Saccharomyces cerevisiae S288C: one gene and its partners. The main gene of each other region encodes a partner of the protein of the gene in region 3 in a complex. Each region holds a gene or a part of one and is shown on either strand. Other genes may lie near its edges. A codon is read from its position in the direction of its gene.

Evidence for each region.
Region 1: the proteins of RRP46 (region 3) and RRP40 are in contact, whole or in part, in a cryo-EM structure (PDB 5G06), measured with the Saccharomyces cerevisiae proteins. Residues at the interface, in NP_011609.2 of Saccharomyces cerevisiae: Gly8 (codon at 3,193), Leu10 (codon at 3,199), Asp11 (codon at 3,202), Val13 (codon at 3,208), Asp14 (codon at 3,211), Gly32 (codon at 3,265), Pro33 (codon at 3,268), Ile34 (codon at 3,271), Glu35 (codon at 3,274), Thr79 (codon at 3,406), His81 (codon at 3,412), Cys82 (codon at 3,415), Tyr83 (codon at 3,418), Pro84 (codon at 3,421), Arg85 (codon at 3,424), Gln86 (codon at 3,427), Val121 (codon at 3,532), Asp122 (codon at 3,535), Ala123 (codon at 3,538), Gly124 (codon at 3,541), Ala126 (codon at 3,547), Leu127 (codon at 3,550), Asn128 (codon at 3,553), Ser129 (codon at 3,556), Met130 (codon at 3,559), Phe167 (codon at 3,670), Val168 (codon at 3,673), Asn169 (codon at 3,676), Gly170 (codon at 3,679), Gly171 (codon at 3,682); in NP_014499.2 of Saccharomyces cerevisiae: Phe4 (codon at 1,214), Phe6 (codon at 1,208), Pro7 (codon at 1,205), Gly8 (codon at 1,202), Asp9 (codon at 1,199), Ser10 (codon at 1,196), Tyr26 (codon at 1,148), Arg35 (codon at 1,121), Pro36 (codon at 1,118), Val37 (codon at 1,115), Asn38 (codon at 1,112), Thr39 (codon at 1,109), Gly40 (codon at 1,106), Val41 (codon at 1,103), Asp58 (codon at 1,052), Tyr59 (codon at 1,049), Ser60 (codon at 1,046), Ser61 (codon at 1,043), Lys62 (codon at 1,040), Arg63 (codon at 1,037), Ile65 (codon at 1,031), Phe91 (codon at 953), Ser92 (codon at 950), Ser93 (codon at 947), Lys128 (codon at 842), Glu129 (codon at 839), Leu130 (codon at 836), Glu131 (codon at 833), Asn161 (codon at 743), Gln165 (codon at 731).
Region 2: RRP46 (region 3) and RRP4 share a complex: the UniProt entries of both Saccharomyces cerevisiae proteins name them as parts of the RNA exosome complex.
Region 4: the proteins of RRP46 (region 3) and RRP43 are in contact, whole or in part, in a crystal structure (PDB 5OKZ), measured with the Saccharomyces cerevisiae proteins. Residues at the interface, in NP_011609.2 of Saccharomyces cerevisiae: Thr61 (codon at 3,352), Arg62 (codon at 3,355), Lys64 (codon at 3,361), Val65 (codon at 3,364), Asp68 (codon at 3,373), Ala72 (codon at 3,385), Pro76 (codon at 3,397), Glu103 (codon at 3,478), Phe104 (codon at 3,481), Lys140 (codon at 3,589), Lys155 (codon at 3,634), Ile156 (codon at 3,637), Ser157 (codon at 3,640), Leu158 (codon at 3,643), Val160 (codon at 3,649), Val174 (codon at 3,691), Lys175 (codon at 3,694), Asn176 (codon at 3,697), Val177 (codon at 3,700), Leu178 (codon at 3,703), Leu179 (codon at 3,706), Leu180 (codon at 3,709), Asp181 (codon at 3,712), Ser182 (codon at 3,715), Asn183 (codon at 3,718), Gly184 (codon at 3,721), Asp185 (codon at 3,724), Phe186 (codon at 3,727), Asn187 (codon at 3,730), Glu188 (codon at 3,733); in NP_009964.2 of Saccharomyces cerevisiae: Glu121 (codon at 3,529), Asp122 (codon at 3,532), Ile123 (codon at 3,535), Ile124 (codon at 3,538), Asp146 (codon at 3,604), Met149 (codon at 3,613), Thr150 (codon at 3,616), Gln153 (codon at 3,625), Lys154 (codon at 3,628), Ser158 (codon at 3,640), Leu160 (codon at 3,646), His161 (codon at 3,649), Arg163 (codon at 3,655), Asn356 (codon at 4,234), Tyr357 (codon at 4,237), Lys358 (codon at 4,240), Gln359 (codon at 4,243), Leu360 (codon at 4,246), Thr361 (codon at 4,249), Leu362 (codon at 4,252), Gly364 (codon at 4,258), Gly365 (codon at 4,261), Gly366 (codon at 4,264), Ala367 (codon at 4,267), Lys368 (codon at 4,270), Ile369 (codon at 4,273), Pro371 (codon at 4,279), Ile374 (codon at 4,288), Lys375 (codon at 4,291), Leu378 (codon at 4,300).

Annotation. Positions count from the first base shown.
Region 1 is NC_001147.6:53,016-56,780, reverse strand, and holds RRP40 (exosome non-catalytic core subunit RRP40), read right to left. Parts: upstream 1,224-3,765; coding exon 501-1,223; downstream 1-500. Other genes in the region: tRNA methyltransferase PPM2, read right to left, coding at 1-329; lumazine synthase RIB4, read left to right, coding at 1,677-2,186; NOP8 (Nop8p), read right to left, coding at 2,229-3,683. UniProt on the Saccharomyces cerevisiae protein: Non-catalytic component of the RNA exosome complex which has 3'->5' exoribonuclease activity and participates in a multitude of cellular RNA processing and degradation events.
Region 2 is NC_001140.6:230,662-236,480, reverse strand, and holds RRP4 (exosome non-catalytic core subunit RRP4), read left to right. Parts: upstream 1-1,822; coding exon 1,823-2,902; downstream 2,903-5,819. Other genes in the region: TRM5 (tRNA (guanine) methyltransferase), read right to left, coding at 101-1,600; DYS1 (deoxyhypusine synthase), read right to left, coding at 3,185-4,348; hydroxyacyl-thioester dehydratase HTD2, read right to left, coding at 4,669-5,511; SSF1 (rRNA-binding ribosome biosynthesis protein), read right to left, coding at 5,785-5,819. UniProt on the Saccharomyces cerevisiae protein: Non-catalytic component of the RNA exosome complex which has 3'->5' exoribonuclease activity and participates in a multitude of cellular RNA processing and degradation events.
Region 3 is NC_001139.9:674,243-679,513, reverse strand, and holds RRP46 (exosome non-catalytic core subunit RRP46), read left to right. Parts: upstream 1-3,171; coding exon 3,172-3,843; downstream 3,844-5,271. Other genes in the region: ASK10 (Ask10p), read right to left, coding at 1-819; thiamine transporter TPC1, read right to left, coding at 1,949-2,893; VAS1 (valine--tRNA ligase), read right to left, coding at 4,014-5,271. UniProt on the Saccharomyces cerevisiae protein: Non-catalytic component of the RNA exosome complex which has 3'->5' exoribonuclease activity and participates in a multitude of cellular RNA processing and degradation events.
Region 4 is NC_001135.5:190,180-196,186, reverse strand, and holds RRP43 (exosome non-catalytic core subunit RRP43), read left to right. Parts: upstream 1-3,168; coding exon 3,169-4,353; downstream 4,354-6,007. Other genes in the region: PHO87 (SPX domain-containing inorganic phosphate transporter), read left to right, coding at 1-1,773; RBK1 (putative ribokinase), read right to left, coding at 1,889-2,890; fatty acid elongase ELO2, read right to left, coding at 4,552-5,595.

The DNA of each region.
Region 1 (3,765 bases), on a different chromosome or scaffold from region 3:
ACTATCTTTTTATCCTGTGGCGTTTGTTCAATGATGGAGTTCAATCTTGACCTGATGGCAAATAACCTCAACCAATAACCTCTGTTAATACAGGGAGATCTTTTAATTTTCTTAGGAACAAAGAATTTAAAATATTCCAACAGTTTATTATTCTTATCCATTTGGAAATTATTAGCCGAACTCAGTTTTGGCAAATACAATAACTCTACCGATCTTTTAGAAGCAATTGAGGAGTTATTTGTGCCTTGAATCGCCAAATCAGCGTACTTTTTACGTCTTTCTTGTTTGACATTCTTGTTCGTTTGCTTTATAGTGGTCAGATTCTTCATCGTATTAGATATGTGCACTATAGTTGTCGAAATTTTATGGCCATATGTTAGATGTGATGAGATGAGATGAGATGAAACTTTTTTTCCTTCGCTTTTTCAAAGGACATTAAAAAAGGACGTGAAATATTGATGATATCTATGTGTTTATATATTTTAATTATACATGGTAGTCTACTCCTCCTTGACCGTAAGTATTTCTTTAAACTGTCTTTTTGCTATATCCTTGAACGCTGCCGTGTCGTTTTTTTGACAACACTCCATTATGGTTCTATAACAAGCTAAAGTGTTAGATAATTCCTCGCACTTAACCCAGATCTTCCCATTGAGACCAATGGCGACTTCAAACTTGGTATGTGCAGCCAACACTTTTAATAACGGGAAGTCATTATTGAAAAGCAACTGGCGTGCGAAATTCAAATTCACGTCAATGATCATACCATCTTCCAATATCCCGAAACCAGCATCGCGTCCTGTAGTTGAGTCAAAACATTCTATTTCGGCTTCTAGTTCCTTTTCTGCGGTACAAACTCTCGCATACACTAGATCTCCCACTTGCAAAGTTGGCCTGTTTTTCTTTGAAGCATTGGGAAAAGCCATATACGATAGTGAAACACTGGAGGAGAAATTTTGCAACGAAACCTTATAGCTATCTGAAAATGTCCCTATAATGACACCGATTACAAAATCGTTTACAGATGGAATGTATCTCTTACTAGAATAGTCTATATATGCGGTCTGAACACCACTCTTACCCTTAGCGGAAACATGCAAAACACCTGTATTAACAGGTCGTATTTCTTGAGTATTGGGGTCACAATATATGCCAGGGCCCAGTTTAACAGGTGTAGTAGGGTCTACAGGAAAGCTATCACCAGGGAATATGAACGTAGACATCTTGTATGCTCTTGGTTAGTCGAAATGCTGGAGATGAGCTGCTGAAGCATCCGTTTGTGCTGTTGGTTTAATATGCTTCTCTAAACCAAAAAATTTCAGCCGATCAGGTCCGGGTCACACCACTACCCTTACTAGTAAACAATGATGGCTTTCATTAAGGTAACTTTAAGTGAGGTGGATGGAACTAGTTTCCACGAAACTTCATCGAAGAGGTCTGGGGTTCTATGACGTATAATTAAAACTCTGGGAGGTTTTCGGAGGTTCCCGTAGGTCAATTCTTAAGGCTCTATGACATATTCTGGGAGCGGAGATATTTTCGGAGGTCCCCGTTAATAAGAGAAAAGTAGCCATATAAAAGAGAACAATGAAATATTGCCCCAGAGAGTGGGTTCAAAAGCATGAAAAGGAACAGTATAACGCAGTATAACGCAGTATAACGCAGTATAACGCAGTATGGCAGTTAAAGGATTAGGCAAACCAGATCAAGTTTATGACGGTTCCAAAATCAGGGTCGGTATCATTCATGCCCGTTGGAACCGTGTCATTATTGACGCTCTTGTGAAAGGTGCTATTGAAAGAATGGCTTCCCTTGGTGTCGAGGAAAATAACATAATAATTGAAACTGTTCCTGGATCCTATGAATTACCTTGGGGGACAAAAAGGTTTGTTGACAGACAAGCGAAGTTGGGAAAGCCGCTAGATGTTGTAATTCCTATTGGTGTACTTATCAAAGGTAGTACAATGCACTTTGAATACATTTCAGATTCCACCACTCACGCATTGATGAACTTACAAGAAAAAGTCGACATGCCCGTCATTTTTGGCCTCTTAACTTGCATGACTGAAGAACAAGCCCTGGCCAGAGCTGGCATCGATGAAGCGCACTCCATGCACAACCATGGTGAAGATTGGGGTGCTGCAGCAGTGGAAATGGCTGTTAAGTTCGGTAAAAATGCTTTTTGAATAAGCGCAGAGAAATCTATACTATATATGTATATATACTCACTATAGAAGAAGCCCGCTCTTTGATTGTTTCCTCTTACGGTGCTTCAATGCATCTTTCATTTTGCGCCTCATATCACGGGTCCAATTACCTCTGTTAGCCCAGAACTCCTCATCCCAGTTCGATAGCATTGTTTCTCTTCCAGGAGCCCTTACTTTACTCAACTGTGTTTGTCCTACTAAAAATGGCGATTGCAAATGAGGGAAAAACAAGAAATTTTTGTTATCTTTATCTCTAGATACATGTGGTACGGGAGCCGATGTCAAACCTAGGGTGTCAGATGATTTACTTACTTCTTCCTCCAGTTGGTTCACATCAACATCTTTCGCATGATCAATATCATTATCAGAATCTTCAATCAATTTGAATTGTGATACAGGTTCTGCCTCGTTGGGGTTGAATAGGTTTCTTAACGTCTCAGTGTTGCTTATTGTACCTTGACCAATTTCCTTGGTGAAAGTCGGAATAAATTCATTATCCTCCTGCCCGTCGCCCTCGTCCTGTTCTTTCCTTTCCTCTGGTTTTTCTTGTGGTAGGGTGCTCTGGTCCTTCGTCTTATTAACATTCTCGTATTCGGGAGCGTTTACTTCTTTTTCTTCTTCTTCTTCTTCTTCTTCCTCTCCTTTACGTTGCTCTGTCAGAAGTTCCTCGTCCGAATCATTCAACGTCATTGGCTTATCGAAGTCAAAGTCCTTTAATAGGTCATTAAGAATAACATTATTTTTCTCCTTCTCCTCTTCTGACATATTCTCATCGCTGTCCATCTCTCCACTGCAAACGTTTTCATCTTTTGACACTGTTAACTGTTTCAGCCCATTTTTGAATCGAACAGTTTTAACAGCACGACTGTAATCCAATCTATCGACAATGTGGTTGTATCCGTTTTTCCAGAAATTATTTGTAAACTTGTACACAAGGTCATTCAATTCTTTGTTCCTTTCATAACCCCATAATTTAGTCTTATAGCATTTGTAAACTTTCAATGAACCATTGACATTGATCCTGAATGTAATGTTCCTCAATTGACTCCTTTTTCTCGGCGCCTCCCTCATTCTGCCAGCAATAACTTCCTTATGATCTTTCCAACTTTTCGCTACATTTTCCATTTTCTTATAATGTTGCCAATTCTTTTTTTTCATTTTAGCATTTAGTATAATATCTTCTTTAAGGTCCTTTGCATGTTGTACCGCCCAGGTGCTTTCCCAATTCGGCTTTGCTTCATCAACCTTCAAAATGTTCCCTTTAAACTTAACATTATTAAAGCTCTTTCTTAGCTTGTTAAAATCTGCCTCATCATTAAACCTTATATCGATAAATGCAAAGTGGTTGTGTTTTTCAAACTGAAAATCTTGGCAATCACCAAATTTTCCAAATCGATCTAGTAGTTCTGAATAACAATCATCTGCATTATGGAAAATATTTCCGACAAAAATTCTTTTTTGAATTACACTATCCATCGTCGTATATTACCTAGTTCTCACTTCAGGTACAATCTAAAATGATATGGGCCTATTGTATACTTTGTTAATTGACTGACAT
Region 2 (5,819 bases), on a different chromosome or scaffold from region 3:
CGCCTTCTCGAAGATAAAGGTGTTAGTCATCTCGTTTCTTTTTCTAATGGTCGCCTTTTTGCCTTTTTCCTCCCACGGCAAACTGCAAGAGCAGATCGCTTCATACGTTAGCTGGAAGTTGGAAACTCGCGCAATACATCGGTTTGGTGGGTGCAACTTTGCGCACCAAATGCAACGAAACGGCATTCAACGGAAGATCGTCTGCAGTGACCTTGAGCGCGGCAATAATACGGGCATGAACGCGTGCATGCAACTCGTCCTCAGTGACTTGGTCGCCAGGCGGGTACTTCTCAAAACAGTGCACGTGCACCCATGGCATTTGGATGGTATCAGTGGCGCCTTTAGTGTGTGCTGCAAAGATGCCACGGAAGTTTCCTAAGAAAGAAATGGCGCTGTCTGGTAGATTCATGACATAGTGGCTAATATGTGACGGAATGATCAGCTCTTTGGTGCGTGGTTGTGGCGGTTGTTGGTCATTGTGTTGCTGGGATCTGTGTCGTTTCTTCAAAGGCAGAGGGATCGTGATCTTGCCGCCCTCTTCATCTTGAATCCACTGTTGTAATAACTGTGGCGACTGGCGGATGAAGTCAGCGCCATCCATGTTGAAGGATTTGACGGTCTTGGCCACTTTGTTCAATGCGATGTTCTCCTTCAAGTATTTGTAACTCTCAGGATTCAAGTCGTTAGCCAAAACGATGACATCCTTCTTGCCCGCAGGTACAGCAAAGGGCCCCACGCCGGCGAAAACATCACAGACTACTTGGCCAGGCTGGAAGTACTGTTTGACGAGTCTTTCATGCTCTGTGTGCAATCGGGAGTTCCAGTACACCTTGCTAAAGTCGAATTTGAAAGTGCAGTTGGATTCCTTCTGCTCTACCACTAGACTATCGCTTTTCCCAGCAATGACTTTCATAGGAAAAGTCCTGAACTGTGTGGCAATGGAGCTGACTTTGTCCACGACACATTCGATTTTGTTGTTCTTGTCAAGGATGACTTGTCCGATGAGCGAGTCGAATGGTTTGAACTCGGTGCGCAAGTTCAAGTGGGCAATGTGGCCTGTGATTGTAAAACCCGTTGGAACCTCTTCCAGGAATTGCTCGGGCAGCACGGCTCGAAGAATCTCCTCAGCTTTCCAGAAATCATAATCGAGCACGTATTCGTGTGGTACAATTTCCGCACTGTTTTCCTTAAGAAACGCCAAGGCGTCCTCAGGCAATTTTCCATACGCATCCTCCACGCTGTGGATGGATTCGTGTAGCAGCACACCTTTCGTGACTGGGGTATTATTGCCATCTGCAGTCTTTAGTTTCTTGTTCTGTACACTTGTCAGTTCGTCCTTTGGCTTGGATGAGTTTAACTTAACAACGTGCGGGATACGGGGCACCCTCAAGATGCAATTTTTGAAGTTTTTAGAAAACACACTGATATTTTTGGGTTCGGGGAACTTGACTGCACACATTGGTATCTTGGTGATGAAAAATGACCTATCCAATTCTCGCATTTGGCGATTCACGGGTGGGTTGTATGGGAACACTCCTGACATCTTGCACGAACTGATCAATCTATTAAATTTTTGGAATACTGGCAGTGCGATTTTCATGCAATGAAAAATATCCTTACCTTTACTTATGGTTTAAACTGGTTTGTTCAAATATCCTCAGTGAATCTTTTTTTTTCTTTTTCTTCCTCAGTATGGATTGAGCGATGAGGTGAAAAAAAAAAAAAAATTAAGAAAACTAAAACAAAAGTAGAAGAAAAATATCCTTCCTTAAGTACTGCTTGCATTCTAAATCTTTGCGTAGTCACACAAGCGTAAACAGATATGTCCGAAGTTATCACAATTACCAAGCGGAACGGTGCCTTCCAAAATTCATCTAACCTGTCCTATAACAACACAGGGATATCAGATGATGAAAATGATGAAGAAGATATCTACATGCACGATGTTAACTCAGCTTCTAAAAGTGAGTCTGATTCTCAAATTGTGACGCCAGGTGAGCTGGTCACTGATGACCCTATCTGGATGAGAGGTCACGGTACGTATTTTCTTGATAATATGACGTATTCCTCTGTTGCTGGTACTGTATCCCGTGTCAATAGGCTGCTATCGGTAATTCCATTGAAAGGTCGTTATGCCCCAGAAACTGGTGATCACGTCGTAGGGAGAATTGCTGAAGTGGGTAACAAGAGATGGAAAGTAGACATTGGCGGTAAGCAACATGCAGTACTTATGTTGGGCTCTGTGAATTTACCGGGTGGTATTCTAAGAAGAAAATCTGAAAGTGATGAACTACAAATGAGAAGCTTCCTTAAGGAAGGTGACCTCCTGAATGCAGAAGTTCAATCATTATTTCAAGATGGTAGTGCCTCTTTACATACAAGGTCTCTAAAGTACGGGAAGTTAAGAAACGGGATGTTTTGCCAAGTCCCGAGTTCATTAATAGTGAGAGCCAAGAACCATACTCATAATTTGCCCGGCAACATAACCGTAGTTCTCGGAGTCAATGGTTACATATGGTTAAGGAAAACATCTCAGATGGACTTAGCGAGGGATACGCCGTCTGCAAATAACAGTTCCTCAATTAAATCAACTGGACCCACTGGTGCGGTATCATTAAATCCCTCCATAACAAGACTGGAAGAAGAGTCTTCATGGCAAATATATTCGGATGAAAACGATCCTTCCATATCGAACAACATACGACAAGCAATTTGCCGGTATGCGAACGTGATCAAAGCGTTAGCGTTCTGTGAAATAGGCATTACTCAACAACGTATAGTAAGTGCTTACGAAGCTAGTATGGTTTATTCAAACGTAGGTGAACTGATTGAGAAAAATGTAATGGAATCCATAGGCAGTGACATTCTTACCGCCGAAAAAATGAGAGGTAACGGCAACTAATAGGAATACAAAAGCCGCTGTTTACACATTTATAAACTACACAGCAGACTCCAACGCAATTTATGTGTATAAACTTACATAATGTCATGGCTATGTACACACGATTAGTACGTATAGAAATGCAATTGACTCATCTTTATTGCAGACATTACATCATATTTTGTTGATATTATAGTAATATGTTCATTTTTTTATTTATCTCTATATTAAAACAAAACTTTTGCACTAAAAAAAGAAATAGTACAGATTCATTTTTTTTTTTTTCATCTCAAAATTCTCTCATCAATTCTTAACTTTTTTGATTGGTTTACCACTGGCAAAGGTAGCAGCAACAATCAATGGAAGAACAGTGGTGACATCAGCAAAAAGTTTGACGGATTTGGCTTCAGCCTTGATCTTACCCCAAGACACAGCTTCGTCAGGTCTTGCACCTGCATCAGAACCATCGTATTCTTGACCAGTGTTAATGTAAACGGCATAATCAGCACCATTTCTCATCAAACAAGCATTGGCAATGTGGTGCTTGATCAAACCACCACCCAAGATGATCATACCGGCTCTGTAAGCGGCCATGGACATTGAATTGATTTTGCGGATATCTCCTACAATGTCAACTCTTAGTTGTTTTGGAGATGCTTTAAAAGTATGGAAAAACAACATGTCACCGATTGAACCATCAGTCAAAGATGGACAAAAGATTGGAATTTTATTCTTGTGGGCCCAGTACAATACGGAGGATTCGTCGTTGATTTCCTTACCAAAACGATCTATCATCTTAGATGGGGTCCAGATTGGTGAATCCACGTCTTGGTTAGCCTCTAAACAGTCAGCGCCATGTTTCTTTACGTATTCATCTTGTTCTTCCAACATCTTATCCAAAATTGGGACAATCCATTCTTCAAACTTACAGTAGTTATCATTTGGAACAAGCAAGTTACCAATACGATTCATACCTTGGTCACGCAAAGATTTACCTTTCAAAGCAAATTCACCCAAGTAAGTTGGAGCAAGACATTTGATCAAATCTTCTTCCACACCACCAGCAGAAGTAACGACAGCATCAACCATTTTGTGTTGCACCAAATAACGTAAAGTTTCACGTACACCGGAACTGATCAAGTTAGAAGTATAACCCATGAAGATAGTAGTCTTTTGGTACCCTTCCTCATCGAAGCAACCTTTCTTTTCATGGTCATCCAATTCGTCAATATGCTTACCTCTCCATGATCTCATACTATCAATAATCTCACAGGCAGTACCAACAGAACTAGCTTGGAAACCCATGGTCTTCATAGCTTCAATTAAATCAGTTGCTCTCATATTAGTGGCTTCAGGCTTTGAGTAATCAATACCTTGAACCTTAACGAAGTCATCTGGAATAGGAACAGATGCTTTCAAGACAGCGTCTTGTAGTAACTCTGGGAGTTTTTCGTTGATATCGGACATCTTTTTTGCTTTGACTTGTATATAAGTTAACTAAGCAAAACACGACTTTACTCTGCAGTTAGATACAAAACTGATAGAGGGAAGTACTTTGCGTCAAAATGGAAATATACATTACATTTAATTTTTCACTTTACTTTTTATTTTTTTTTCCCACCTTTTTTTCAGTTCTTCCCGTAATGCGTTTACCGTCAACCTGGTGATGGCGAGATATTATGGTAATCTCGTTCGTGACCTTCCACTGTTCAGCAGCTACTAGTATTATTTCAAGAGACAAGAAACACACAGGTAGTGATTATCTGCAGAGAGACAATTACTGGTAGTCAACAGAAAACATCAGCTTTCATGTAGACTAAGTTGGCTTTCTGGAGGTCCCTAATTTGAAATGTGTACATTCCGCTCGAAGAGCTTAAAGACTGACATATGCTCAAAGTAGTGTTTGGATATATATAATTCAAATTGCGGTATCGCAACTGTCTGATTGGTTGTTCGAGAAAAGGTTGGATGCATTTCTGTAGTAATTGGACCGAGAAGGGTCCTTGCATGATAATATCGTCGTAGCCTTCAACATAGCGACTGTACTCTTTGTCCCAATGAATTCGGTGCGGATTCAAAGACATCTGACCATAAGCTACAATATCCATATCAGTAACAGTAAAATTTTTTAAGATCTTATAGTTCTCCTCTCCTACGGGCATCTTGACTGCAGTCTTGTTTGCGGGTGAATTGGTGTACATTAATACCCTTCTCTCGAATAAGCAAATGTCCATTGGACTCGACACATTTTCGGGCCTTTCTTGTAAAAGGGTTCTTTCAATACAGACAACATGTTCATCTCGTATTTTTTTTACGTATTTGATTGATTCGTGGCATGTATACTCCTGGTCTAAGGTGACTGGTAAATACTGAACAAGCTCTCCTTGTCCCCAAATCCTTCTACGGTAGCGTAAATCAGGGTTTCCTAGCAAACTTGCAGGATTTTGATAGTTAAAATAACCATCTCTATCCAATTTTTCGAATGATGGTGGGAAGAACAGGAAATGTTCTCCCAGTTGAAGATGCTTCGTTGCCTTTGATACAGGGAGTCTCCTACAAAGTAAACTATCAAACGCTTTGGTTCGGTGACTAGATAAGACATCCCTGAAAATCCACGTTTTGGATTTCATGCTGATAAGCTGTCTTTAGATAAGTGGACGATTGCCCACCTTCAATGTACCAGCCACGCTCATGTATCGAAACAGTAGCTTAAAATGGCGTAAAAAAGGTAAGATCGAATTTTTTTTCACATGCCTTCTGAGATCTACGTTTCCTTTGGGCTATGATTTAAAAGACAAAGAGTTTATATGTATCAAGTATGCAATTTATCTAAAGTGAAGAAGTATACGTGCGTTGGTGGATAGCCAGGCTTAACTAAAATTTTCTTGGTACCGGAGAACAATTTATTCGACCTCACTAAATAAGTCACTATCTAGAT
Region 3 (5,271 bases):
AAATTGCTGGTTAGCCAACGAAAGATGGTACTTCTTCAAAATGACCTGGATGTCTTGAATCGAGCCTGAACCGAACTTAACAAAACCGGATGCGGCAGATGTATTGTCCGACTCTGTGGTCTGGACAGGCTTGTATTCATGAGGCGCCAAACTCATTTTACTTTCATCTGTGGGAGCCTGCACTGCATTTTCCTGCTGTTCCTGTTGCATTTGCATCTGAAATTGTTCGCTGTCAGTCAGGCCAACTTTCTTCTGCGCAGGCTGCGCTTTCTTAGGGCCTCTAGGAGCCGTTGTGAATGGATCCGTAATGGTATTTGTGGTTTCATCAATATCAGTCAAAAATGGAAATTTCACAGATCCTTTCAGTTGGTAATTGATCCGTGCGAACTGTTCTTGCGCATACGCGACTTCCCTCAAGTAAATCACTAACCCTTTCAGAATTTTTTTCCATTTATAAAACCTGTCTACAAGGATGTCGGTGGGATACTCCTTAACAAACTGCCCATCGATAGCTTCATCACCTGCAAGGGGCTTCTTCGTTTCCGTAGTAGAGGTTGGCTGAGCCTTTGGTATAGGGACGTTTATGAAGTAGGGAGATCTCTCATCTGTTTCAGGCAAAATAAACTCCTTTGCCTGATTGTTTGCCACTATGGAGGAAACACTTTCGTTCAAGGTCATCGAATCAGGTAAGATGTCCATCAAGTACTGCGAGCTCTTCGAGTGGATGGAGGAGGCGTCATCGCCGCCACCACCGCCAGATGGCTTATTGCCCATCGGCGTGAGCGTTTGCGAAGGTCTGGAACTAAAGTAATCAGACATTAGTTTGAGCCCAGTTTTGTCCTATTTCTAATGCACTCTCGTTGTGTTTGGTAGAAGAGGTGTTAAAAAACAGAAATTTTCGGTCGTTATAGTATAGATAGTTTAGTTTGTAACTACGCTGTCTTTCCTTATTCTTGTACGCTTCGCCCTAGTTCCTGTGAAAAAAGCTTTCTGTAGTAGCGTTATTTTTAGATTTCAAGATAGGAGAAGAATGGTTATTTTCGACAATGAAGATGAAGAAGGGCAGCGCTGTTTGAAGGGAAAGGGAATGCAAGACTAGGAAATATGGATTCAGCTAGCACATTTATGAGTAAGGGGAGGTGTTATTCAGTGCAAAAACTAGTGAAAAAAAAAAATAGGAAAAAAGATAAAGAGATGACAGAAAGCTAAACGCTTACAAGAAAAATGATGGATCGTAAACACGCAATCCAACAAATCGGCGGTGATGGTGATGATGAATCATCTCCGGAGGTTTGAAACTTAGAATCTGACATTTTTTCCCGCTTATTTTTGCGATTTTTTTTTTTGGTAGGATCAGGCGAGGTTGAACATCTCCCACGTTTCTCATTTCTTGGCTATTAAGGAGCCAAGAAATGAGAAAAGGCGAAAAAAAAAAAAAAAAAAGAAAAAAAAAAGTGTAAGTATGCCACATCTAAGAAGGGTGGCTACCACAAGGGTGCAGAGATTGCAGCAGTCCTTGCTTTCTTCAATTTTACTACTTCTTGTTACTCCTAGTCCGTGTGCTTGCGCAGATGTAAGTTGTGTTGAAACAACAAGCAGATGTAGTGGTCCCTGACGCTGGTTCCATCGGAAGATCCGATTCATTGTTTCCTTCTCTCCCTTCCCCGCTGACTGAGCGGAAAAAAAGATAAAAAAAAGAAGAAAAACCGGTGCGGGGCAGCAGGCAACTAAGAAAAACCGGAAAAAGGGTTGGCGTCAGATCGCTAGCAACGAGATTCCTCTTTTTTTTTCGATTTTTTGTTATTAGAGGAAGACGGCGCGACTGAGTCAGGCCGTAATCGGAATGGAAAACCGGGCGGCTACCGATCTTTGTCAGTGAAGAATATAAGATATGATGATTTCGTATATGTATATGAGTGTGTACATGTGACAAAAAAGATTGGAAACTTTAGTACATCCGCAAATAATGGATGGCAGTTTCATACCCCCAGAAACTCACAAAAGTGGTGGGTATTGTCTTGGAAAGGGCCACCAGAATACCTCTGTAAAGCGAACTCACACCTTCTTGTTTCAAAATCTGTAAACCGATTCTTGCGAATCCGTACCCTTTATAAGAACCGTATACAGACGAATGACGGGAGAACTTTTCCAGATGCTTCGAATTCATGAACTGCATTCGCCTACGGATCGTTTCGAGGGGGAAAGTAATGATCTTAGCAATGACGCCGCCAATGGTACCAGCGCTGTGATTTAAAGTAGCCAGTTCCCATTTTTTATGCGCGGCGGTCGTTTTTTCGTTTTCGTCACAGTATATCCTGATTGTTTCGTATGTTCCGAACATTATAGATGCGGTTAGAGTTATGGTTGTCATTGACGCGATGGAGCCCTTGAAAAATCCGGGGAGACCTTCTAGTTTCCAGATATCACGCACTTCTCTCGTGATGCTCATTGAGTGCATCTGGTTGTTGGCAACTAGTCGGGTCCGTAAAACATCGAACGGGTAGGAAACGATGGAACTGGTTATGCCAGCAAAGGCTCCGACAACAAGACTATGTAAGCGCGCCTCTAGTCCAAATGGAGTTAAATATCTATTAAAAAGGGAGTATGAACTAAACTGCGCTGAGCCATAGGTAACGTACAGCAAAGAACCGGGTATGTTACCCTTCCAAAAGGACCGGATGCCTTCGTTCTTTATCATGCTTCTGGCCACCTCCATGACCTGACTTCCGAAGGGCTTCAGCCCATTTGCAGGGGTCAATTGCAATCTGATCTTAATGGTATCCATGGGAGCAGTTATGCTACGGGCAAGCAGCCCGGATACGGCGCCAGCCAACAAAGTTTTCCACGCGGCCACATTTTGCCCTTTTCTTAACGAGTCCTCCTCTTTGAACATATCAACATTTATGTACTTTGAATGGTTTATATAAAGCTCCAGACTATGCCAAGTTAAAGGTGACAAAATAGCGCCTTTTCTTCATAAAGACTATTATGTACCTCTCTTTTTCTTTTTACTACTTTTTTTTTCCTTTTAAGCGCATCGGATTGTGGAAAAAAGAGTGGAAAATTTGTTAGATGAACCAGTTAAGATGCATAAAATATCTCTGCATATATGGTAATAACAAGGAGCCCAATACCAAGAATAGATTAGATTCTGCTGAAAAAAAAAAAAAAATGAGCGTCCAAGCAGAAATAGGGATATTAGATCATGTAGATGGTTCATCTGAATTCGTATCACAAGACACCAAGGTTATTTGTTCTGTAACAGGCCCTATTGAACCAAAAGCAAGACAAGAACTGCCTACACAATTAGCATTAGAAATTATTGTACGTCCCGCGAAAGGGGTGGCCACAACAAGAGAGAAGGTACTCGAAGATAAATTACGGGCAGTTCTGACCCCACTCATCACTCGTCATTGTTACCCAAGACAGCTCTGCCAGATAACTTGTCAAATTCTGGAATCTGGTGAAGATGAAGCCGAATTCTCCCTGAGAGAGCTAAGTTGTTGTATAAATGCGGCATTTTTGGCTTTAGTTGATGCAGGAATTGCCTTAAATAGTATGTGCGCAAGCATCCCTATTGCAATAATCAAAGACACTAGTGATATCATTGTCGATCCCACTGCCGAGCAATTGAAGATTTCGCTCTCTGTCCACACTTTAGCTCTGGAGTTCGTCAATGGCGGTAAAGTCGTGAAAAACGTTTTATTGTTAGACAGCAATGGTGATTTTAATGAAGATCAATTGTTCAGTTTACTGGAGCTGGGTGAGCAAAAGTGTCAAGAACTTGTCACAAATATAAGAAGAATAATACAGGACAATATATCACCTCGTCTAGTTGTATAGCCATTATAGATTATAATATACCACAACATGCTATGTCGTATGCCGGAGACTACCTCTTATATTTGGAAATAGTTATTATTCAATGTTCTAAAATTCTTAACATTTTCGTTGTTACATATACATAGCATATATATATATATATATTACATTAATTTTTATCTACCTTCAATCTACAATTTCAAACGCTTCAAGTTTTCAATAGTAGCTTCCAAACCTTCGATTTCGGCAACAGTGTTATCCAGCTTGCTTTTATTGGCTTCCTTGGCCTGTGTATTAGCCTTTGTTTCGTAATCCTTACTGTTAATGGTTTGTTCAATACCGTTCTTGGATTTTTTAGCCTTTTCAAGTTTCTTTTGAACTTTCGCAATTTCAGCATCAATATCAACGTGTCCCTTGACGAGAAGATGTACATTGACTTCTGGGTTAACAGATTGCAATACGCAACCTTCTGGAATTTCGGAAGCATCACGAACAACAGTGACTTCGTCGATGGCCTTGATCAACGAGACAATAGAATCTTTCTGATCTTCAGCAGTTTTGAAGTATTCCTCGTGGTTAGATTCAACGAAAACCTTACCATTCTTCAAAATATTGTACTCAGATAACAAGGAACGAGCTTCTTTGGTAATGTTCAAGACCAAGTCGTAAGCATTGGCCGATTTGACATCATCGTACTCAGATACGTAAACTGGATAAGAAGCTTTTACAATTGAGGCAGCCTTCTCAGTGGAACGCTTTGGAAGTCTTTGCCACATTTCTTCAGAAATGAATGGCATGAATGGATGGATTAATTTCAAAGCGTTGTCCAGCAAGATATACAATGTATCCTTTGCGGACTTCTTTTCAATAGCAGAGCCTTCTTGAATCAAGTATTTAGAGTTCTCGATGTAAACATCACAAATCAAATACCAGAATTCGTAAATACTGCTAGTGGACGTCAAGAAGTCACGTTTATCTAGAGCTTCATTGACAATTTTCGAGGTTTCAGTCAGCTTGTGCAAGATCCATTTTTCAACCAAGGATTCGTTACCTGATAGACCTTCAGTGGCAGGTGGTTGATAATCGTCACCGAGTCTCATCAATGCAAACTTGGTAGCTTGGTAGATTTTGTTACAGAACTTTCTGTAACCTTCGACACGTAAGATATCTAAGTTAATATCACGACCACCAGTGGTATAAGCACATAATGCAAACCTCATAGCATCGGTACCACATTGAGGAATACCGTTAGGGTAGGATTCCTTTTGACCGATCTTAGCTTTTTCAACTTCTCTTGGATCTAAGTTACCTTGTAATAATTTTGCATGCAAATCATCCAACTTAATACCAGTAATAACGTCTAGTGGGTCAATAACATTACCTAAAGATTTAGACATCTTACGACCTTGAGCGTCACGGACTAAAGAGTGGCAGAAAACTTCCTTGAAT
Region 4 (6,007 bases), on a different chromosome or scaffold from region 3:
GAAAGTGAAGAATTTTTCAAAGACACCTACATCTTCCAGCATGAAACTTTAAGCAGTTTAAACAGTAAAATTGCACAACTTATTGAATTTTATGCTGTTCTCATGGGTCAGCCTGGGAACGTAGATTCATGCAAGCAAGAGTTAAAGTCGTACCTGCACGACCACATTGTTTGGGAAAGAAGCAACACATGGAAAGACATGTTGGGCCTCTCTTCGCAAAATAACGATATAATAACTATTGAAGATGAAGCTGAGAAACTTATGCAAGAAAAGCTTCAAATTGAATATTTCAAGTATCCATTGCCTAAGCCAATTAATTTGAAGTTTACTAAAATTGAAAATTTGGCAGTTCCTAAGCTATTTTTTGGGAAAAGAGCAATGAAAATAGGCTTCATTATCATTGTCACAGGTGTTTTGTTGGGTGTTAAAACTTTCAATGACCCTGTCGAACACCGGTGTATGGCATTGGTAGAATGCTGTGCTTTCTTATGGGCTAGTGAAGCCATTCCATTACACATCACAGGTTTATTGGTTCCCCTTCTAACTGTCCTTTTTAGGGTACTAAAAGACGATGACGGTAAGGTAATGGGAGCAGCAGCTGCCTCTACAGAAATCTTAGGTACAATGTGGTCGTCAACAATTATGATTTTATTAGCAGGTTTCACATTGGGTGAAGCCTTGTCGCAATATAACGTTGCGAAAGTTTTGGCATCGTGGTTATTGGCCCTTGCAGGTACCAAGCCAAGAAATGTCCTTTTAATGGCAATGAGTGTTGTATTCTTTCTTTCGATGTGGATTTCCAACGTTGCCTCCCCAGTATTGACATATTCTCTATTAACACCCTTACTAGATCCGCTGGACTACACTTCACCGTTTGCTAAGGCATTAGTCATGGGTGTTGCACTTTCGGCAGATATTGGTGGTATGGCTTCACCTATTTCTTCGCCACAGAATATCATCTCCATGCAGTACTTAAAACCTTATGGAATCGGCTGGGGGCAATTTTTTGCTGTCGCTCTGCCTACAGGTATTCTATCGATGCTGTGCTCCTGGGCCTTGATGATACTCACCTTTAAAATAGGCAAAACTAAACTGGAAAAATTTAAACCAATAAGGACCAGATTTACTATAAAGCAATATTTTATCATCATTGTAACTATTGCTACTATTCTTCTATGGTGTGTAGAGTCACAAATAGAAAGTGCTTTTGGATCGTCCGGTGAAATTGCAGTAATACCGATAGTCCTGTTTTTTGGTACAGGTCTACTATCAACAAAGGATTTCAACACATTCCCTTGGTCAATTGTTGTTCTTGCTATGGGTGGTATAGCCCTTGGTAAGGCAGTTTCATCTTCAGGCTTGTTGGTAACTATTGCAAGAGCATTACAAAAGAAAATTCAGAACGATGGTGTTTTTGCTATCTTATGTATTTTCGGTATTTTAATGTTAGTTGTGGGCACTTTTGTCTCACATACTGTGTCAGCAATCATCATTATTCCCTTGGTGCAAGAAGTTGGTGACAAATTATCCGATCCAAAGGCAGCTCCAATTCTTGTGTTCGGTTGCGCCTTGTTAGCCTCATGCGGTATGGGGTTGGCTTCATCTGGATTTCCAAACGTTACTGCTATTTCTATGACCGATAAAAAGGGTAATAGATGGCTAACTGTAGGCGCTTTTATCTCCAGAGGTGTTCCTGCTTCGTTGTTAGCGTTTGTCTGCGTAATTACTCTCGGTTATGGTATTAGTTCTTCCGTCTTAAAAGGTAGCACTTAAACTGCCCTCATGTAATTACATTTCTTATTACTGCATTCTTTGTACCTTTTTAAACTTTATATATATGACGAAAACTAAAATTTAACAAACTAAAAGTAAAAAATTGCAGTAGATTTTATGCATCTTTCTGAACATCTTTATACAGTGGCATGCTTTCAGCAGCACCTTTTCTTTGAATGGTCAATGAACTAGCTAATGTAGAGAACTTTATAGCCGTAGACAAGGTCTCTCCTTGATACAATTGAGTAACCAAACCGCCCAGGAAAGTATCTCCAGCTCCTGTAGTATCAACAACCGAAACATTTTGAATAGCCGGAAGGAATTGTACTTCAGGGCTTTCGTGCGAACAGAAAAGCACCCCTCTCGAACCCAAAGTCATAACCACAATTCCTCTTTTCTTTCGATTCATGAGTTTTTCATACAAAAGCTCACAAATTTTACGATATTCTCCTAAAAAGTCGTCCTTTATCTTCTCCCTTATTTCTTCAACAAGTTCATTATCAAATACACTTTCCACGATTTGAAGACCCTCAATTTCATTAACGACCAAAAGGTCTACCAACTCCCAATCTTTCTTAGGCATGGCCTTGAAAGGTGAGGGGTTATATACGATCTGAAAATTCGGCCTGTTCGCATGTATCCATTTAATAATGGAAAGAGGATCAGGAATTTCGTGTTGAAAAACAACATACTCTTCTTCCTCCTTGCCCTCTGGAAAAATTTCACACAACTGTTTCGGGTCATAAATAGTCTTGCTGTTAGCACCTTCTACAATCAATATCCTATTTTGGCCACCAGCTTTCTCTTCAATTAGTATGGTAGCGGTACCCGTATTAATGCCTTCGTAAGTACCGACGTGAGTGATATCGACTCCGCAATCGGATAAAGTGTCCTTCAATTGTTTACCAAATGTATCATTTCCAACATTACCAATCATTCGAACACTATATCTGCTGCTGGGGTTTTTTAATTTACCAATGGCCGCAGCTTGGTTCAATCCCTTACCACCAGCATGTGTTTCGAAGTGGTTAGCCCTGAAAGTTTCTCCAGCGTTAGGTAATCTATCCGTAAATGTGTCCAAATCATAGTTTAGAGAACCTATTACTGTAATACCCATCTTTGAAATATGCTGTTGGAACTTTGGGATGAAAGACAACAAACATCTTATTGGCTATTTTTATCCTATTTGCTTCATGATTGTTCTGGCCACCTTCGGATATAAACCCTTTTATTCCCGTTTGATCTGGAGAGATTTTCAAATCACAGTCGACGAAAGTATAAGATTTTTCTTTCTTTTTTTATGACAGAGTATATAACAATAATGGACAAATTAGACGATGAGTATTGTTACACAAATAAGTTTGACAGTAGTTTCACAGGCATCTAATATTGGAAATGGCTGAAAGTACCACGTTAGAAACTATTGAGATACACCCAATTACTTTTCCACCTGAAGTTCTTGCGAGAATATCTCCAGAATTGTCTTTACAAAGACACTTATCCCTAGGAATCAGGCCATGTCTAAGAAAATATGAAGAATTTAGAGATGTTGCTATAGAAAATAATACTTTATCGCGTTATGCGGATGCTGGTAATATAGACACTAAAAACAACATTTTAGGCTCAAATGTTTTGAAAAGTGGGAAAACCATAGTCATAACTTCTATTACGGGTGGAATAATAGAAGAAACTAGCGCCGCGATTAAAGATTTGGATGATTTCGGTGAGGAAGAATTGTTCGAAGTGACCAAAGAGGAGGACATAATTGCAAATTATGCTTCTGTCTATCCGGTGGTGGAAGTTGAAAGAGGTAGAGTGGGCGCTTGCACCGATGAAGAAATGACTATATCACAAAAACTACACGATTCCATATTGCACTCTAGGATATTGCCTAAAAAAGCCTTGAAGGTAAAAGCTGGTGTTCGTAGTGCGAATGAAGACGGTACGTTTTCCGTCTTGTATCCCGATGAATTAGAAGATGATACGCTGAATGAAACAAACCTGAAAATGAAAAGAAAATGGTCATACGTTTTGTATGCGAAAATTGTAGTCTTGAGTCGCACTGGTCCAGTCTTCGATTTGTGTTGGAATTCTTTGATGTACGCTTTACAGAGCGTAAAGTTACCTAGAGCATTTATAGATGAGCGTGCGTCCGATTTAAGAATGACTATAAGAACAAGAGGAAGAAGTGCCACCATAAGAGAAACGTATGAAATTATTTGCGACCAAACTAAGTCAGTACCGTTAATGATAAACGCAAAGAATATTGCATTTGCTTCAAATTATGGGATAGTGGAGTTAGACCCCGAATGCCAATTACAAAACTCTGATAACTCTGAAGAAGAGGAAGTGGACATTGATATGGATAAATTGAACACTGTGCTAATAGCAGACCTAGATACTGAAGCGGAAGAAACAAGTATACACAGTACGATCTCCATCCTCGCTGCTCCTTCAGGTAACTATAAGCAATTAACATTAGTGGGAGGAGGCGCTAAAATAACGCCAGAAATGATAAAAAGATCATTGTTGTTATCTAGGGTTAGAGCGGACGATTTGTCAACAAGATTTAACATATAAAAGACTCGGATAAAATTATCTGATGACTGTCGAAAGGAAACGGAAAACTTTTTTCAACGATAACATGTGTATGTAATATATAACAAAACCATCCGGTCTTTTACAATATAATAATAGTGATAATAGTAACAATAGATCCACTAAGAAAAAACGAATATACGAAAGTTGAATACTTAAATTCTTTCAAAGATTTTACACTTACCTTTTTCTTCTGTGTTGAGGTTTTGGTGATGGAGATGGAGTAGGAACGTTTTTCAAGTCAACGTTAACATACTCATTAACCTTTGCGGCAACACCGCCGTGGGCACGCTTTACCACTCTACTGGTTTTGGTGCCTTTACGTTTATAAACGTTAATGTAAAATGAAATAAATAGTACCAAATATGAAGAAATAATGGCACAACCTGCAAAGGTGGCAGTTGTTGAACCCACACAGTCACCACAATGTGGCAAAATTGGGAAATACAAGTGAACTGCTTTTTGGTAGACAGCAAAATATATGAAACCGATATCCAAAACAAATTGGATAATTTGAAATCTGGTAACCCATTCCTTCCACCAGACCCTGATGCCTCTGGCAGCCAAGAAATAGTACCAATACATAACCACGTGAACACCAAGGTTCAATGAAATAGGGACCCAAGAAATAGATGTGGTGCCCATCAATTGGGTGTAACATAATAAGGCAGTAGCGCCATGGTGATAAGTATGCAAAAATGTCAATTTTTTATGTTTTAGCACCAAGAAAAAGGTGTCTATAAATTCAATAAACTTGACAATGTAATTCATGTAATATAATGTAACGAGCGGTTGAGTCCAAGCACCAATATTACAGATAGCGAAGTATAACCCGTGCTGAACAATAATTGGCACTAATTGTTCAACCATAAGCAATAAAAGCGTCAATGAAAGTGAAGTTAAAACCAAATTATGCAATTGGAAAAGGCCATTTAATTTAAATGGTTTCGACTTACTTAACAAAAACCTGCCACCAAAAATAATAACGTAATAGGCAGTGATGGCGTATAGCACAGGGGGCAAAGTGCTTAATGGTAATTCACCTGCAATGAATTGGAATTCGCTTGGAACAAATCTACCGTTAGTTACACGAGTGACGACATCATCGAAATGTTCCCACAACGAAATATTAAAAAATGGTCGCTCCAAAGTTGGTAAATAGTCATGAAGTTGGGGATAACGCTCGAACAACGGAGCAGCATATTGAGTAACGAGTGAATTCATGGCTTCTAGACGAAGATAATTAGTTCAACCTTTTCACTTTGTACAAAATTGCTTGTGGATAATAGTGAAATGAAAAATATTTTCCAATTTTTCATTGACTTTTTCGCGATGTTTATTTCTCTGTGGGTTTTGCGATTTTCAGCAATGGCCGCACGCCAGGACATGTGAATACGTACAAAAATAAAATGTGACATATTTACACGACACTTAAATAAAGTCGTTTAAAATCGGAAAAAACTGTATAATGCAGAAAAAATACGAAATTACAATTATAATTAAAAACTCCTCCCTTTATATATATACATATATATATATATAATATAGTACACTAACACACGTAAGGTAATGTATGCTCGAGAGTTTCACCAACCATTGGATGGAAAAGAAGTAGAGCATATGTATTGCCCGTCTC